Linked DNA regions of Ovis aries. The protein of the gene in region 2 purifies or fractionates together with the protein of the main gene of each other region. This does not show direct contact. Links are inferred from orthologs where the notes say so. Each region holds a gene or a part of one and is shown on either strand. Other genes may lie near its edges.

Region 1 (2,980 bases), on a different chromosome or scaffold from region 2:
GCCTGAAGCCTCAGCTTCTGTGTGACAGTGTAAGTACCAGGCTCCACAGAGATGTCAGTCGTGTAGCTTCTGCCTGCAGCTGTGGCCCCGCCAAGCCCCAGGAACAGACAGTGGGAGCAACCACACAGAGCAGTGGAAACAGCTCAGCCACAACAGGTCACCCCGTGGTCGTGTATGTTAGCCCCAACAGGGACGGGGCTGCCCTGCCCACCTCCCACAAGCATCTAGTCTGTGGGAAAGTGAGTTGTTATTCCCTCTGTAAATGAGAGAGTTTGCTCTGTGGTTTTATCAAACTGCCTTTGAGTCGGGACTGACCAAATCAAGTTTCTGTGTTCACCTTGGGGCACAGGTACAGTTCAGCCATTCCGTAAATGTTTATTGACAGCCTGTGGGCCAGGTGCCACGTGGGTGCAGAAAAGGGACTGAGTCTCACAGCTGACAGTCACGGATGAGCACACGATGCACTCCTTAAACGCCGCTCAGAAAACACACGCACTCCGGCCTATTAAAAGGTTTATTTTCTTCTTTATGCTCAGAAACAATGAAGTGGTCTTGCCCCCCAAAGGGTCTCATCCTGAAGGAATGGGAGGCAGAGAGAGTGACAGGAGGGGGTGTAGGTGTGAGGTTGAATGTGGGAGTGCTTTCCCCCTCTTTTCCTATTATCACTCCTCTTCGGCTCCCCCTCCAAAAAATTGAGGTGTGAACACAGCTTGCCACCCACTGGGGGACTGGGGAAGCACAGCTGAAGTCAAAAAATTAATGCCCATGTTCCACAAGAGCTGGGTCCAGTGCGTATCTGGTGGGGGGTGGGGGAGTGGGGGGGGGGCATTGGTCGAGGAAGCCGCTGGGTGGAGGGGAAGGGAAGAGGGACTGGGATCCCCCTCAGTGACAGTGGGGGTCTTGGTCCTGCCTCCACCTGCCCCCCCGCCCCTGCCATCCACTCCCTTCTTCCAGCCTCCCTTCCTAGCAGAACTGGTCGTCGTAGTCCTCATCCTTCAGCCCCTTGAGCCGCAGTCGGGCAAAGTCCTCAAACACAATGTCGTCGTCTGTGGCATAGCTTGGTGGTAGAGAGGAGGGGGTGAGGTGGGGGCCCTAGGCCTCCTCCACCTCCCAGTCCCCTCCCCTCCCAGAGACAGAGGCGCCGGCCAGAGCAGCCTTGGGACTGGAGATGTTTGCAGAAGGGACAGAGAAGGGGTGGTAGTTGGCAGCTCATTAGCCTAAGTCCTCTCAATTGGATGCTTCAACCATCCCGCCTCCCAAAGGGAAAAATAGGGTAGATCTGAATGTTACAGGAATCTGTCCAGAGAGTCAACGCTTGAAGGGGTGGGGCACTCTTACTTGGTATCGAATTCAATGAGGTTGGTGTCCACAGGGGCATCTGTTTCAGGAGCAGCTGAGGGGAGGAGAGCCGGGGGGTGGGTGGGTACTAAAAGGACCAGCTTTCCTCTCCGCTGGCCTTGCTTCAGACCCTCCCTTTGTGGGCTTGGGTGGGTGGCAGGCTCACCTGATTGGGGCCTGGGAAGGGCGATGTGATCATGGGGCTTGGGGTGCATGAGAACAAAAGGCAGCTCCACTGAGACGTCCCTGGGATTGGGGGAGAGGTGGCAAGAAGAGATGATAGTGCAGAGCCAGAGGAAACCCCTGTGCCCCACCCCACCCCCAGGCTCCCCCCAGCCCAGCACTCACCCGCCTCGAGATACCACCAGCTTCACCTTGACCCTGTAGGACACCAGGATCCCCAGCACCTCCTTGTTGGCACCCTCCTTCACGCTGCAGTTGGGGGAAGGGGTTGGACCAGAGCCCACTGCTCTGCCCACTGCCCACCCCGGGGCCCCCATGAGGAGGCGGACTACAGATACCAGCATGCTCATGTCACGTAAAGTACTCTGCTGTGGTCCTTCTCATCGCTCTCTCAGTAAAAGCCCAAGTCCTTACAGCCCAGCCACCCTGCACTGTCTTGCTCTCCATCAGCCCTCTGACCCCACTTCCAGCTCCCAGGCTGGCCTCCAAGGCTTGCTGTGTGTGGTCGTGTACAGAGGGGTGGGGAGGGGTGAAATCCAGCCCCTACTTTATGAAGCTGTTGCCCCTAGAGGGCCTGCCTCAGACACCCGGGTGGTCCACCTCAGGGTCTTTGTGCCTGCGGTACCCTCTGCCTGGAGCGCTCCTGCCCTGCACATCCACATGACATACTCCCTTGGCGTCTTCACCCAGAATCCACCTCTGGATCAGGCCTCCCCATCCCTTCTACCACCCTCCCCTTTATATCTCCCATGTCAGTCTTGCTTTTTCTCCTTAACACCTGTCACTAAACACACTACACATTCTGTCCTGTATCTGATTTGTCTGGCCTCCCTCTGAGAACAGGAGAGGTGTTTGGGATCTATTCAGTGATAGAGCCCTGGCCCCGGGGACAGAACCTGGCACACAGCCGCACAGAATGGGTGTCTAGTTTCCTGCGCTGCAGCCAGCCCCCCTCCCTGCCGACTCCCCCTCACATGGTGCTGGACGCCAGGTTGGTGTCCTCGTGCTTGAGCTTCCCATCCAGGGCGAGGCCGCGCTTCTCCCGGTTGTTGCTGAGCAGGGGGGTTATGGTGTACACCTTACAGAATGTGGAACTGGGTGACACCTGGTCACTGCAGGGTGGGGACAAGAGAGGGAGACTCTGAGGGGGCAGGCGGGGCAAGGGGGCAGCTCCCACCCCCAGCGGCCTCTCCCGCATCACCAGCCCCTCCTCTCTGTGGGCACGGGTCACAAGGAGTAGGTTTTGGCTCAAGCTGCTCAAGAAAACGGGCAGCTCAGAGCCACCCTCAGACTGGAGGGAATGCCCTTGTAAGTTGAGACAGTTTGAGAAGAACCACCCACGTCCCCATGTTCCCAGGGCCCACCCTTCCCAGGGCTGTTCTGCTACTCACTCTTGTTCAACCTGAGCCACGGGACACTTGTACTGGGCAGTGCTGAAGAGGCAGATGTCGGCGTACTG
Region 2 (15,804 bases):
TTCCCTGGTGGCTCAGATGGTAAAGCGTCTGTCTACAACGAGGGAGACTCGGGTTCGATCCCTGGGTTGGGAAGATCCCCTGGAGAAGGAAATGGCAATCCACTCCAGGTCTATTGCCTGGAAAATCCCATGGACAGAGGAGCCTGGTAGGCTACAGTCGATGGGGTCGCAAAGAGTCGGACACGACTGAGCGACTTCACTTCACTTCCCCCAACACACACACATACACACACACACGTACACACACACGGAGCCGTCACAACATCTCTCCCCTCCCCTTTACACAAATACTTCTCAAAAGACCCACTGCCTCCCTCACCCCTCCTTCACTCATCAGATCGCTGCCATCTGACCCTCTCCATCACTTTCCACAAACAGTATTCCCTAAACCCACCACCAACAGTCCCCATGACTGTCAGTAACTGAAGCCACTGGTCCCATCCTCATCCTTCTGACCTCTCAGAACATTGCCCCTTGACTCTCCCCACTTTCCCAAAACTCTCAGCTTCCTTCCCTTGGCTTCCTTCCCTAGGCCCACTCTCCTGGGTTTTCTCCCACCTCTTGGGCCCTCCTTTGCAGCCTCTGCAGGTACACCCTCATTTTCACAGCCACAACCTGTGGGTGTGCCTCACAGCTCCATCCTGGGGCACCTTCTCTTCTCTCTGGCCAATCTGGGCCTCCCCCACAGCCACGTGATCATCTGTCTCCTGACAACTTCCCATCCTCGTGTGCTTCCAAACCCAGGCCTATGCAACATCTACCTCCAGGGTCCCAAAGGTCTTTCAAGCTCAACACGTCTAAAGTGGAACTTGCATTTTTCATGACCCCCTCCACAGCCTCCCATCATCACTCACCCAAGCAACTCCTCCCAGTTCACCTTCAGGTTTCCCCATCTCAGTGAAAAACCACTGCCTGTTTTCATGGAAACCTCAGAGGTCATCCTGACACTCACTCTCCATCCCCTCCATTCCCACACATCTCTTTGATGATTTTACTTCCTGATACCTGGAACCTTCCACAGCCCTCCACCTGTACTGCCATCAGCACCACCCCTGTGATAGTCTCCCCGGATGCCTGCCTGCCCTCCTAACCCTAACCTGTCATCTTGCAGCTACTCACACACACACACACCCCATTCCACTCTCTGCCTACAGGGGTCACATTAAAATGCAAATGTCATCCTATCCTTCTTGGACCTACACTGTCAGTGGCTTCCTAAATCTCTGAGGATGAAGAGAAAGATTCTCGATACAGAACCTGCCTCTGCCCTCCTTCTAAACTCCCCAATCCCCCTGCGCTCCCTCTGGGCCCTGTCACGAAGGCATTTTCTCACCTCTTCTCTCAGTGGTACCTTCCACCTCAGGCCCTTTGCACAGGTCCGTTATTCTGCCTAGGATTCTTCCCCCTACCCCACTCTCCCCTCACATAGTTCAGAGGTCCTCACAAAGATCACTTCCTCAGGGAATCCTTCCCTGACCCCCAAGCAGAGATAGATCCTGTCATCCTGTCAGATGATTTCATGGTGACGGCTAATGGACACACAAGTGCAGTACTATTCTTGGAAATTTTCTGTGCGTTTCTGCTTAGAACTCATTTACTCCTCATGGCAACCCTATCAGGTAGAAACTATAATTACCTCTATCTTATGAGTGAAGAAACTGAGGCACCAAGAAGTTATGTAACTTAGCGAAGGTCACCTAGTTAATAAGAGACAAAGCAGGAGTTTGAACCTGGGCAGAATGACTCCAGCATAGCTTTTAAATACTCCTCTTCCATAAGAAAAAAACTCTATCCTTTTCTTTTCTACACTTACTCACCGCTTGTAACAATGTATTTGTATGTGTTTAATAACAAAAACAATATAAATAACAAAATGCATGTAACAAATTATATGTATTTGTTAGGTTACGTCTCCCCGTTGAACTATAAGCTCTGTTGGCGTGGAGACAGTTTTATTTCCAACAGTAGTTGTTCAATAAATATTTGCTAAATAGCTGAATGTAGATTAGTCTCCCCTCTCTTCCTCACTTACCATATTCCATCAGTTACCTGGTCCTGTCCCTATTTCTTCCTGGAGCAATCGTTCCTAAGCCTAGGGTGGTCAGGTATGTGCTTACCCCGTATCCTAAAATTGGACGGAAAACGTTATGTGTCTGTACACCTTTAGAATTTTCTACAGCAAACGTTAGGTGCTTCTTGCTCTCTTCATTTTCTCGATGGACACATGAAGTTAAGAACGGCTGGTTCAGGACTTCCTTGTTGGTCCAGCGGTTAAGAATCTGACTGCCAATGCAGGAGGCATGAATTCGATCCCTGTTTTGGGGGAGCAACTAAGCCCGTGTACCAACAGCTACGGAGCCCATGCTCTAGATCCCACATACCGTAACCTCTGACACCCTAGAGTGCCCTAGAGCCCCTGATCCGCAGGAAGAGAAGCCGTTGCCACAGTGAGAGGCCCAAGCACTACAACTAAAGAAAGGCTGCGGGTAGCAATGATGGCCTAGCGCAGAAGACCAAATAAATAAGGAGACCCAAATAGATAAATAAATGAACAGCCAAATAAAAATTTTAAATATATGTTAAAAGAAAAAAAAGAATAGCTGATTCAAATATTCCCCAGCCTAACTCACCCTCTCCCTGCCAATCTCCTCTCCACAACTACAGCACCCTCTCATCCAGTTTTGTTCTCCAAAAATCCATCCTCTATGCGTTGGTCATAGCAATCTTTTTTTTTTTTTTTTGGCTGTGCTGGGTCTTTGTAGCACGAAGGATCGTCAATCTTCATTGAGGCATGTGGACTATTTAGTTATGGCATGAGAAGTCTTAGTTGTGGCATGCAGTTTTTACTTCTCTGACCAGGAATCAAACCCAGGCCCCCTGCGGTGGGAGTACAGAGTCTTAGCCGCTGGACCACCAGGGAAGTCCCCATTGCAATCTTTAAAAAACACAAACCCAAGTCACCCTCCTGCATAGAATCAGACAGAGACTGGCTATTGCCCTTGGAGCAAAGTGCAAACTCTGACCAGGTGGAGCGGGTGTTGAAGGCCCTGTTAACTTGTCCATCCTTCTGCATCCACACTGGTTCCCTCAACCCTCCAACTCAACAGTCCAGCAGCACAGACGGCGTTTTATGTTTGGGTTTCCTGGCCTGTACCGAAGTGGTTTCTCCTGTCTATATTCATGCAGTGCCCTCTGCCTGGGATGCCAGCCCTCTCCTCTGCACCTAGAAACTCCTATTCTGTCTTTAAGCCTCAGCTTAGATACCCTCTTGGGGTTAGGGGCCCCTCCTTTCTCCCATAGGCTGTGCTTGTCCCAGACAATGTGCAGAAGACTTTGAACCATAGTTGCTCGATTACCAGCCTCTCTCTTCCCTGTGAGCTTTGAGGGCAGCTGCCACATCTTATATATCCCGCAGGCCTAGCCTAAGCGCTTGCCGAAGGTATGGCGCTCAATAACTATTCAATGAATGAATGAACGATGACAAATAGCACCGGTTCATGCGTTCTAAAAAGATTTGTGAAATGATTAAATGAGTGGGTAAGTGGAAGTTCGAGTCTAGAGAGAGCTGGAGAATAGGATATTCAGAGATGAGTAAAATCCGATCACAGCTGTCACACAGCTAAGAGGAAGACAAATGCCTTCAAGGAGCGAGGCTGAAGGATTTAAGAGGGAGGCATTCTAATCTTAGGCGGCCCAGGGGGCGAGTCCGGATCCGACTCCCGCCCTCCCCGCCAATAGGCGGTCTCAATGCCTCCCATGCCTCCTCCCTTTTCATCCGCGGAGGCGGGGCCGGCCACCTTTGGAGATAAGACTACGCTTCCCGGCGTGCCGCGCGGCGGGCGGAGGAGGAGCCGGAAGTGGGGGTCGCGAGGTCTAAGGGCACAAGGGAAGTGGCGGGCGGGGACTGAGGGGGGCGTGCAGGTGAACGGACAGGCCGGGGGTCGCGGGCATGGCTGAGGCCAGGAAGCGGCGGGAGCTCCTTCCCCTGATCTACCAGCATCTGCTGCAGGCGGGCTATGTGCGTGCGGCGCGGGAAGTGAAGGAGCAGAGCGGCCAGGTAAGCGTGCGCGGGCCGTGTCCAAGGGCCGCGTGCAAGATCTATGGAGAGGCGGCCCGCGCCTCTTCCTCTGGCGGCCTGCGGGCGCCGAGATCCCGGATCCCACTGTGCTTTGGGACGCGGCCCGGGGTGCTGAAGGGGCCGCAACCTCTGCCCCGCACCTCTGTGGCTCCCAGTTCCTCTGGGCCTCACTTTCCTTATCTGTGGAGTGGGCGGGCCGGGAAGTGAGACCGAACGCTCTGGGCTTTATAATTCCCGCGCCCCTTACCTCCACCCCCTTCCGGGAGCGACAATTTAAAATTTCGAAGTATCAGGCCACGTGGCTCGGCGCGGCCCCCTAGGGCGAAAAGGTTGCTGCGAGTCTGAGGAGAGAATCGCTACCAGCCCAGAAAGGAGCGAAAGAGCGCCCGAGAAGGGGCCTGAAGCTGCTTGACTGAGCTGGAGCTCAAGCCCCTAGCAGCTTTTCTGTACTAATTGGGAGTTGAACTCGTGGTGTAGTCGCTCTTACTTCATCCATCCCTCAAGCAGCTGTTAATCTGGCAGTGAGGGTGCTGGCGATAGAATAGCGAGGAGGGTCCCTTGGCTTACTAATTAGAGTTTACAGGCTAAATCTGCTAGGGGAGATTGACATAAATCAGAGGACCACAAAAGTAACTGTGCACTCAGCACTGCATTAACTGCCAAGAATGAGAAGCATAGGGTGCTAAGACAGGAATGGCAGATCGCCTTAGTCAGGGATATCCAGACCTGCTCTCCAGAGGAAGTGAATGCTACTTTGAGATCTGAGAGAAGGAAGTGGATGTTCCAAGTAGGAATGCAAAGTGTTGCATATGTACTGGCCGCCAGAAAGTTTATTGTGACTGAAGTATGGAGTACAAGGGTGACAGAGATCTCTGGGGAGACAGAGGCAGGAAGTGGGCTTCCTTTGGTTTTGGTGAAGTAGTGGTAAGCCACTGGAAGGTGTTAAGTTGGTGTGGTGTCTGTTGACTTGATTAGTCGGTGTCTGTCTGGCTATGGTGTAGGCTCTGGTCATGATACTTTCTCTCAGGACCTCTGGGAGAGACTAAAGGATGACAAATAAGACATCATCTGTGCTTTTCCCAATCTTTGGACCTCGGTAGCTTTTCTTACTTCAGTTATATCACTTACCAGCTACAGGGAACAAAAGGGAGTACCTATCTTCTTTGGGGCATTTGCCTAGACGAAAGAATCCTGCCCTCATGAAGCATATATTCCAGCAGGAACAGACAAATGACTGAATTTTTTTTTAAGTTAATGATACAGTGTATGGGGTGATGGTAGGTGCTAGGTGTAAAAATAAGGCAGGTAGAAGGGATAAGGAATATCAGAGTTAAATTATCTATAGGGTGGTCATGAAACCCGAGTGAGAAGGTGACTTTGGGGCGAGGACCTGAAGAAAGTGAAGGAGTGAGCCATATAGTTGGCAGGAGAGAGCATTCAAGACAGAAAGAACAGCCAGCCCCGATGGGGGCGGAGTCCCCTGACAGATTTGAGGGACAGTGAGGAGGCCAGTGTGCCTGGGGCCAAGGAAAGTGAAACTGACACTTTTAGTCACTGTCAGTTACAGACTGAATGTTACTGGCTGCTGTGCTGTGCAGTTACTATTGTAGACTGTCTCCTTAAGGCCTGAGAGCAGCATCTTAGATGGGTACTGCTGTTATCCCCATATAAAGAAAGAACCTGCAGCTTTAAAGAGCTGAAGACAGTAGACTATCCAGTTAACAAATTAATTCTCTTTGCCTGACCCTAGATGCACCCTCCTGGCCACTCTGCTTAAATCCCTGGCCCTGCATTACTCACTCAGCCTCCTTGGGGCACTTGACACTCCAGGTTCTTGACATTTGCAGAGAGTAGACTTCTGATCTTGGCTCCAGAGGGCTTTGCTTCTACCAAAGGATTGGCACCATTTGGTTCCAGTCTCTGCCCAGTGGGTGAGCAGACAGCGTGGTTGTCTAGTCTGTGGTTCATACTGCCTGGGGAAATTGACCAGCTTGACTTTTGAAAGGTCAGGGGTGGAAAAAGCCCTGTCTTGTGGCACCTAAGCCTGGAGAGTGCCAGGGAGGCTGGGGGCTGAATAAATGCTAGCTTGGAATATTCCCACTCTACTCTGTCAAAGGTACTTCTCACCAGAATATTGTCTTAAAAGGTTTTAGTTGGAAGTACTTGCCCTGTGTGTCTCTGAAAGGTTCGGGTGGTCCTGGCAGGGCTGAGCAGACGTATTGCCCAGAGCAGAAAGACCCCCTTCTCAACCATCTCTCTGTGGTTCATGATGTCATGAGCGTGGGGCCCAAGGAGGAACCTTGCTGTACTCAGGAGGGTTAATTGCTGCTTTCTCTTTGCTTCTCTGCAGAAAATTTTCCTGAGTCAGCCTGTAACCCTTCTGGACATCTATACACACTGGCAACAGTAAGTCTAATGGGGCTGAGGGAGTGCAAGAAGGACACCCCAAGCTCTCAGCATGAAATCAGCTAGGATACTAATCTGGTCTAAAATCTGTCCCCGTAACCCACTGTAGATACTTTTATCACCTCTAGGAAGCTACACCACAGATATGGGTGTCTGTCTGCTAGTAGAGAGGACACTGAGAACTGTGAGCAGTGTCTCTGAAGGACAAGAGCTTCTTGGCAGCTTGTTATTCATTCAGTCAATGAGCATTTATTGAGTAACTGCTGAATGCCAGGCTCTCAGTACAGAGATATTGTCATGAATGAGACATGCATGGTGGCTCCTTTCCTGGAGCTGACACTGGAGTCAGGGAGGTAAGCATGCCACAGAGAATGAGACAAATGAGTATAAAATCACAGTGGTGGTGAGGATTATGAAAGAGGTGCCTGGGGCCAAAACTGCCTGAATAGGTTAGCATCACCTCATTTAGGTGTGTAGGAGTGGCTTCCTTGAGGTGACCTTTGAGTTGAGAACTGCAGGAGTGGGGAGGTGAACTCGGCAATAGGTGTGGAAAGGCTGATGGAGTGTAGCTGGCAGAGGGAGCTGCTGGTCTGAGGCTGTAACTGCTGTGCAGTGCAGACGAGACTAGACAATCGTCAGGGACCACCCCATGACAGGCCTGATCACCCACAAGGAGAAGTTGTGTCTTTGCCCTGAGAACCATGGACGGGTGAAGTGAAGAGTGGTGAGGTCGCTGGCTCGACTGGGTAGGCTGTGGATATCAGCCTCCAGACAAGAGCTGCTAGGGCTTGAGGCAGGAATAACATACGAGGGAGACAGTGTGCAGGAATACCAGAGGATGAGATGAGGGTCTGCAGATGGTTTGGAGAAGCAGTGTAGTCAGCTCCCAGGTGTCTGACTTGTATGCTTGAATGGAAGGAACCCAACGTGGAGGGAAAGATTTCAAAGACATGCTGAATGTGAAATGTCTGTGAAACACGCAAAACAAGGAGAGGGGATAATCCAAGGACTTATCAACAGAGGAATGGATTGAAAATGAAGGAGCGGGTAATCGCTCCCTCAGTGAACTGGCCTGACCACAGCCAACTACGGGAGTGAAGGACCTGCAGTTGTGACCCATGAGGAATGATAGTGAACATGCAACTGTCTGGGTGGAAAAAAGATGGCAGAGGGGCAGTGGAGGGACCACTATCTGCACATGTTTTGAGACGAAGGGAGTGGGGTGTTCCCTAGGGCCTGAGAGAGAAGTGGGACCCATGTGAACCTGCTTTAGGAAGCCAAGTGTCAGCTTCTGAGTGAAAGCAGTTGGTCATCAGAGCTGTCCAAAACTGAGGTGGGCTACAGTAGAGTGGTGAGATCCCTGTCATCAGAGGTGTGTAAGCAAAGGCGGGCATGGTAGAGAAGGGATCCCAGCTTCCAGTAGAGAGCTAAGGTCTTTGCAAGCCCTGTCAGCCCTCAGTTCTTGGCTCTCCTCTGCTGCTAAGGTGAGCACAGGGTACACCCCCCACTTCCTCTTCCACGTGCCCAGGTGTCTGCTATTTGTGCAGCACTTCCTTCCCCAGAGAAGTGCTTCACTGAGCCGTGCCTCACACCCTCCCCTACCACCAGCCCCTTCTCTGGATGAGCGGTGCTGACTTGGACAAGGACCTCACACCCACCAGCCTAACCTGGTGGTTCAAACCCAGCTGTATGACCTTGGACAAACTTGATCTCCCCAAGTTAGTCTCCTTCAGTAAAATGAAGATAATAATAGTAAATAAAGTGCTAAACCTGGCCAGTGGAGGCATTACTCCTCTCCCCGCTTCTGTTTACTGAGCACCTACTTTGAGACAGAACTGTTCTTGATGTAGTTGGAAACAAACTGGAAGAGAAAAATCTCTGCACCTGTGAAAGTTACGTTCTACGGGGAGAAGAGAGGCAGAGTGAACCTATACGTGTGATAAATGAAACATGTTTTTGTAGATTTCCCAACAAGTGGCCTTCCTGGGAACAAGGGAGCCAGGCAGCACATCCCAAACTGTGGCAGAGCGACATCTGTCCCACATGGAGAGTGTGGCACACAGACAGTGACCCCCTCGGGCAGGAGGCTGGGCTCAGAGGATGGGGTGCTTGAAAATTCTGGCACCTCAGCCATCTGAGTGCTTGTCCTCCCCAGAGCCTCAGACTGTGACTCTGGGCAGGTCAGTTAGCCGTGAGACTTAGGCTAGGTACTCTAGGTACTGAAGTGAGCTGGAAAAGGTTCTGCCAGCCCTCCCCTCCCCGGGCATGCAGTAGGGGCATCATCAAGTAGGAAGTTAAGTAAAACGATGGGAGAGAGAAAAGTGCTCTGAAGAAAATGAAACAGGGCGGAGAATATCTTAGAGGACAGTGGTGACTGGGGAAGGCCTTTCCGAGAAGGCTGTACTGCAGTTGAGGCCTGAGGGACAACAGGGACCTGGGCAGTCTTCCAAGAGGAGGTGACTGTGGGTGCCACAAGTCCTGAAGGAAGGAGGGACCTGGATGATTCTGTGAAGTGTATACAGTGCTGGCGCTTAGAGCTCTGTGACTCTTAGCGGCTGTTAGAAAATACTGCCCACCCTTCCTGAGTGTTTGAAGATAAACTGTAAAAATACAGTGAAATGAGTGAAGATGCACAACACGAAATTGTTTCTCCACTCTGTTTCATCACTGTTTAAAGTCTCTTTATACACTTTCCCTTTGGGGTCAGGGAGGATGTGGGAGGTCTTCCTTTTCAACTATCCTAGGGTTGTCCTTGCCCCCTGGTTGAGCTTGCCAGTCACCCTTGTCCTGCAGAACTTCGGAGATTGGCCGGAAACGGAAGGCAGAGGAAGATGCGGCCTTGCAGGCCAAGAGGACCCGCGTGTCAGACCCCATCAGCAGCTCAGAGAGCTCGGAAGAGGAGGAGGAGGAGGAGGAGGCAGAAGCCAAAACCACCAAACCCAGTAAGAGTCCTGGGTGCTGAGAGGGCCCCTGTCTCTGAGCCAGGGGCTCGGTGTAGTACCCTGCACCTCTCGGGGACCGGCTGTTGTATATTGGATTGTTCCAAGGGAGAGTCCACCTCCAGCTTCACCTTCTGTGAGCCCTTGGAGGACCAGGTCCTTTTAGAGGGAAGGTTGTAAGAGCCCCACATACCTATTTTAGTCTTGATTTGAGCCCTTCCTCTGGGCCAGACATTGTGTCCCAGGTGCTAGGAATCCAGTGGTGAACAAAAACAGGAATGGGCTCTTAGAGTCTAGAGGCATGTAGAGAGTCAGCCTCTCCAGTCCAGGAACTGCATTTTTTTAAGCCTTCTAGATAAGTCTGGTAAAAACAGAAGAGCAGCTTTCATTTTCAGAAGAACTGCGAGAGAGATTTCAGAGACAGCAGCTGGCAGGCCCCTCTTCTGTGTGCTCAGGGGCTATTTCAGCAGTTGCCTCTCTGAAGGGAGCAGGTTTAGCACCTGTACGCTGTCCCAGGCACCCTGGTTCCAGTGCGTTGGCAGGGGCCACCCTGTGAGGCCTTCACAGCCCCCTCCTATCCCCGTTCTCCAGCTAGTTTGTGCTTTAACCAACAGTGGTCACAGCTCCACAGAAGAATTACCATTCTCTGCATTGTTGGTTTTTACTTACATAGAAGGTAACTTCTTAATTTTTAAATATATTTTCTCATTGTAAAAGAAATACAGGCTTCATTATATTCATTATAGAATATGTGAAAATGACTTTTTAGAGAGGTAGTGGAAAATTACCCATATTCTTGGCCACGTATAATTTGGCAAATTATTCTTCCATTTATTTTTCCTGAGCATGTTTTTTTCAAATATTGGCTATCATACTGAATATGTATGTTATACTTTGCTTAATCTTTGAAAATTATAATGCAAAACAAGTTCTCTGTGAACTCTACAAAACATACAGAAGAGAAGTGGGAGGTTTTCTGTTCCCCTTGTCTGCTCCCTTTCTTTTCCCTAAATGCATCTCCTGGAAGGTAGCCTGACGATGCTGATGACGCTCCCCTTTGCATCTGCACTCAAACAGATAGACATCCGTACAGGCCTACATCCATACTTACAAACTATTCGAAACAAAAGCTGTATAACTGCCTACTGACTGCTTACTCAATATTAATGAATTTTTTAAGCTGTAATAATGGAATTATAATTATACTTTTTAAGAGCCCTCATTGAAAGAAACCTGCTGAAATATTGTTGGGCAACGTAATATGATGTCTGGTGTATTCTTCAGGATAATACTCACTGGGATGGATGAATGCGGGGTACAGTTGAAATAAGATTGGCCACAAGTTGGTAATGGTTGGGGTTGGGTGGCTTAGTCCTCTTCCTCAGTACTTATGAACGGGCCTAAAATGTTCCAGAATTAAAAATCAAGAAAGGGGTTCCCTGGTGGCTCAGTGTTAGAGACTGCCTGCCAGGGCAAAAAACGTGGGTTCAGTCCCTGGTCCGGGAAGATCCCACGTGCCACGGAGCAGCTAAGCTTGTGCACCACGACTATTGGACCTGTGCTCTAGAGCGTGTGCTTTGCAACAAGAGAGGCCCCCACGCTGGGAAGCCCACGCACCACAACTGGAGAGTAGCCCTGCTCTCTGCAGCTAGAGAAAAGCAACAGAGACCCAGCTCAGCCAATAAGTTGGAGAAAAAAAAAAAAAAATGAGAGATGGAATTAAATGTCAGGAGAAGAATTAGATCATGTAATTCCTCTCAACAGCATCATATTTTTTAACCTAATCAACACTTGTTTTCTCTTGGCTTTATTTATTCATTTGTCTTTGGCTGTGGTGGGTCTTCCTTGCTGTGCTCGAGGTTTTCTCTAGTTGCAGTGAGGGGGTGGCTACTCTTGTTTGGTTGCACAGGCTCCTCGCGGCAGAGCACAGGCTCAGCAGTTGTGGTGCATAAGCCTAGGTGCTCCACGGCATGTGGGATCGTCTCGGACCAGGGACTGAACCTGTGTCCCCAGCATCGGCAAGCGAATTCTTAATCACTGGACCACCAGGGAAGCCCCCAACAGCATCTTCTTTATTTCACAGCATACGTTAGAAACCTTTCCCTAACCTGAGCTCAAAGGAGACAGTATCCTGGTATCAAGGCAAAAAGGGTCTGGAAACTGACATCTAACAAGATTCCAGTCTTTTAGTTCAGCTCCCCACCCACTGGGACATGGTTTAAATTCGAGCAGCTTTCTCTGTGGACCTGGGGCTGCATGACCTGCCTCTATCTTGCTAAATGGCGTTCTGGGCTGCAGTGTGGCAGATGGCCTGTGGGAATGGCATCCCTGGAGTTGTTCGGGCCTCCAGGGTAGTATGCAGTAGGTCTGGGAGCCAATCCCGTTTCCTCTGGGGCCCTCGGTATCTCCAGCCTCCAGGAAGCTGGAACCCCATTGGGGGTGTAGTCAGCCGACTTCCATGTCACCACTCTCTCTTGCTCCTGGGGGATGTGGTTGAGCACCACTGAGCCCTTCCTCAGTCCAGGCTCAGCCTCAAATCTCATGCCAACACCAGGCAGCCATACAAATTGAATTGTTATGTGAGCTGAAACCTTTCTTCTTCCCTGAGAAAAGGCTGGTCTGGCTCACCCAATGGGTATTTGTGTCTTGCAGCCCCGAGATTAGCAGCTACCAACTCCTCAGTCACAGGGACAGTTTCGTCTTCAAGTGTGAAAGAAAAAGCCAAGGTGAGTGGGACCATCTTCCAGGCTGTCACCCATGGGAGGTGAGGTGCCCTGTAGGACATGTTCCCTGGCATCAGAGAAGAACTGGGTTGTGGGTAATTGCCCAGCTTGGATTCGGATCTCAGTCACCAGCTGTGTGATCATGGTGTGTCCCATGCACCTCTCCGGGCCTCGGGTTTTTGTCTGTAAGATGGGGATGATGCCTACTGCTGTGAGCCATTGGGCACCTGGCATACCTGGGGTAGACGGCTCCTGTCCTCTTCCGGCCCTGCATTCAGCTCTTCACTCAGAAAGTCATTACCAATACAGTTATGTTCCAGGGGCTACATGAGGCAGTGGAGACACCATAGCAAACAAGACACCTGTGGCTTTGAAAGCTCGAGAAGCATTTTCTAGGCTGGAAACTACTTGGAAGGCAGAATATCGTTTTCCGGTCATCCACAAAGTGGTGTCTCAGACATGGAAAGGACTGTGTCCCAGATACTGACTCAAGCATTAGCAAAAAATATGTAGAAATAATCACGAGGCCATGATAACATCCACAATAAATTGCTACTTACCGCTTAGCGAAACTGCTGTGTCCTAAGAACTGTAATTCAGTTCACACCTCTGCGAGGGGAGGTACCGTTTTCAGCTCCCCCTTGACTGGCCACAGGTTGGTGATGAATCCGTAACTTCAGAGATGAAGAAACAGAGGCTCAGGGAGGTCATGTGTCCAAGCTCATGGGTCTGGGAAGTGGCAGAGGTGGGAGCTGATGTGGTCTGTGCTCTTATCCACCTGACCATACCCAGTGGCTGTCACTCCTGTTCTCTGTAGGCAAAGACCACGAAAGCCAGCAAGACGGTGAACTCCACGACACACCCTGCCCCGGGAAAGGCAGTGGCCCACCTCCTCACTGGGAAGTCACCCCAGAAGACGACGGGGCCCTCGGCAAATGCTGTCTTGGTGTCAGAAACTGAGGAGGAGGGCAGCGTGTCAGCTCTCAGAACCGCTGCCACGCCTGGTAAGGAGCCCCAACCTCTAGGGCCAGGCCCCCGGGACATTCTGGAACTTAGGTGGTTGTCTCCATGACGGCGAGGACCACCGCCTCAGGCCACTTTCTCCTCCCCTGGGTGAGAGAGAATCTGCTATAGGGACACCTCAGGCTTTGCTGAGGGAATGTGAGCAGCCGGGGTGGGGTTGGAGCATTTTCTGGTTTATTGCTCTCAGGTGGGTACCAGTGCCTTCCACGGAGGCTTAGACGCTAAGGTGAGAGGCCTGGGTTTGCCTCTGTATCGCATGTAAAATAGGTATTTTCCCTGTGATAGGGGAAGGAGGTTTTCTAAGCCCCCAGGTGCTGGCGCTTGTGTGTCAGGACCTATTGTTACACCTCTTACCAGCCCTTCGGCTGTGCAGGAGTGGTGGGGGCGGGGGGCAGTGTGGTATGCCCCTCAGCTGTTCGTCCTCCATGGGTGCAGGAGCTTGCACTCATACCTGGCCCTGAGTAATTGGCGTGGAGGGTGCCAACGAGAGGCAGGCGTGTCTATAAAGGGTTGGCCCTCAGTCCCCTCCTTGTTTATCCCTCAGGAATGGCATCTGCCGACCAGGCTGATAGCTCCAGTGAGGATACCACCAGCTCGAGCGATGAGACGGACTTGGAGGTAATTGCCACCCATCCTCAGAGCAGCCCTCTGCAAACCTCTAACCCTCCTGGGGCCTGGCCAGAGGCCTCACCTCCCAGTGGTACCGGTGTCACCTCTCCCCATTCAGTGGGTGTTTTGGGGTGACCGGGAGCTGGAAGGCTGAGCCTGGGCAGGTTGGGAGCCAGATTTTCACTGTGCTCTGGGCAGGAAGAGGGCCTGGAGTTGGTGGGGAGAGACACCATCCTCCCTGTGAGGCGGGGGCAGACTTTCTCGGAGAGACGGCACGGGACCAGGGCCTGACGCACAGGGGGCTCCACCGGGTGGGCATGTTGGGGTGTGAGTATTCGAGCAGGAAAAGCTGCACGAGCAAAGGCCATGGGGTCAGGAGTGTGGCTGTCTGGGGTCAGACTGCTGAGGAGGTTCTGGGTCTGCTGGTGAGTGCTGGGTCTCAGCACTGCCTGAGGAAGTCCGTGGCCTCGGCTCTTCCGGGAACCGTGGCCTGGAGTCTCTGCAGGTTATTCCTTAGTGTGCACCTTCCAGGTGGCAGGCAGGTTCCTGCTGCCGTGGGGGAGTGAAAGGGACCCTCAGAAATTTAACTGCAGTGGTGATGGTTGGTATGAACAGGAAACGCAGAAAGCCGCGAGGGGCAGTAACAGGGATGCAATGCGGGCAGAGGGGCAGCACGGCAGGACGGACACAGCAGACTTGGTGCTTTGCAGGAACAGGGATCCGCAGGGTCATGAAGGGGAGAGTGACGTAAGATGAAGTCGAGGGAGGCAGGGCCAGATTGGTGCCTGACCGTGAGGCCCACTGAGAGAAGTTTGGGTTTTGTCCTGGTGGCTGTGGGAAACCTTGCAGGCTTGCAGGCACACAGGTGAGATGGCCTGATTTATGGTTCCAAAACATCACTGGTTGTGGCCTGGGTTGGAGGACGGTGCTTCATAAGTGCAGTGAGATGGCTGAGGGCTGTTGGAGTAATGCTGGCAGGAGATGCTGAAGGCTGGCACCAGGGCACCCAGCGGAGAGATGGGGAGAGAGAACAATAGGATTCGGGGATCAAATTGACCTGGCACCCATGGGGCTTCCTACCTTACCTTCCCACCTCAACCAGTAACCCCTGAAGATGCAGACCTAACTGTGGGCTGCTTCTCACATTCCATCCCACCTTTGGGCCCTAGTTACAGCCAGTTATACAGTCCAGGCACCCTGGGCTTCCATGTCCAGGCTCTGTCGAGGGAAGGCACACACACCTGGCCCTGGAAGCCAGCAGCCAAACACATAGCTTCAGTGGGCCAGAGCCCAGAGAGGGGAGGGGGGGTGCCCCAGGAATCTCAGCAGGCTGGTGCCAAGACTAGAGTTCAGGCCCTGGCCTCTTGGCCCTTGTGGTAGCCACCATGATCAGATACTGTGTTAATATTTGGAGGGGTAGACAAGTATGAGCTGTCCTGCTTGTGAGAGACTACCCCTCCACTGAGCCCTGTGTGCCAAGAGGTAGAGGAGGTTTGTGGTTGAGCATTCTGCCCCTTATTATCAGCGTTAGTGGTTTAACCTCTCTGAGCCTTTTGTCTTTTTCCGGAAAATGGGTGTAAAGATGGTATCTTAGGGAGTTGAGAATGAGATGGCATTAAGACAGAGCGTTACAGACTATGAAGCATCTTACACTCCTCAATGGCAGACAGGGTTATTCTCTGATCCCATGCTCTTGTTCCAGGTGAAAGCCGCAGTAAAACCACTGCAGGTCAGAGCCTCAGCCACTGCAGTCAAGGAGTCTCCGAGAAAAAGTGCAGCCCCAACTCCAGGGAAGGCAGGGGTTGTGACACCCCAAGTCAAAGGCGGTGCTGTAACCCCAGCCAGCAGGGCCAAGAAGCCAGAAGAGGTCTCAGAGAGCAGCGAGGAGTCCGATGAGAGTGAGGAGGAGGCCCCGGTGAGGCCCAAGGGAGGCCCGCTCCTCCGGTTCCGGGGCAGCTATGTAAAGAGCACCTCCGCTGCCAGAGGACACTGGCTCTGGAGTTTGGGGAGAGGGAGGCGGGGCTCT

Evidence for each region.
Region 1: the proteins of TCOF1 (region 2) and ARRB2 purify together in Homo sapiens (affinity purification with western blotting; 4 studies listed by BioGRID and IntAct, with this or other methods). This does not show direct contact. The link is inferred for Ovis aries from reciprocal best matches to the Homo sapiens genes TCOF1 and ARRB2.

What each region holds. Positions count from the first base shown.
Region 1 is NC_056064.1:26,515,312-26,518,291, forward strand, and holds the end of ARRB2 (beta-arrestin-2), read right to left. Parts: coding exon 2,913-2,980; intron 2,634-2,912; coding exon 2,496-2,633; intron 1,771-2,495; coding exon 1,687-1,770; intron 1,585-1,686; coding exon 1,505-1,584; intron 1,427-1,504; coding exon 1,339-1,426; intron 1,058-1,338; coding exon 964-1,057; 3' UTR 501-963; downstream 1-500. UniProt on the Homo sapiens protein: Functions in regulating agonist-mediated G-protein coupled receptor (GPCR) signaling by mediating both receptor desensitization and resensitization processes.
Region 2 is NC_056058.1:59,468,056-59,483,859, forward strand, and holds the start of TCOF1 (treacle protein), read left to right. Parts: upstream 1-3,899; 5' UTR 3,900-3,949; coding exon 3,950-4,057; intron 4,058-6,428; coding exon 6,429-6,484; intron 6,485-9,277; coding exon 9,278-9,426; intron 9,427-12,075; coding exon 12,076-12,149; intron 12,150-12,963; coding exon 12,964-13,150; intron 13,151-13,713; coding exon 13,714-13,787; intron 13,788-15,480; coding exon 15,481-15,693; intron 15,694-15,804.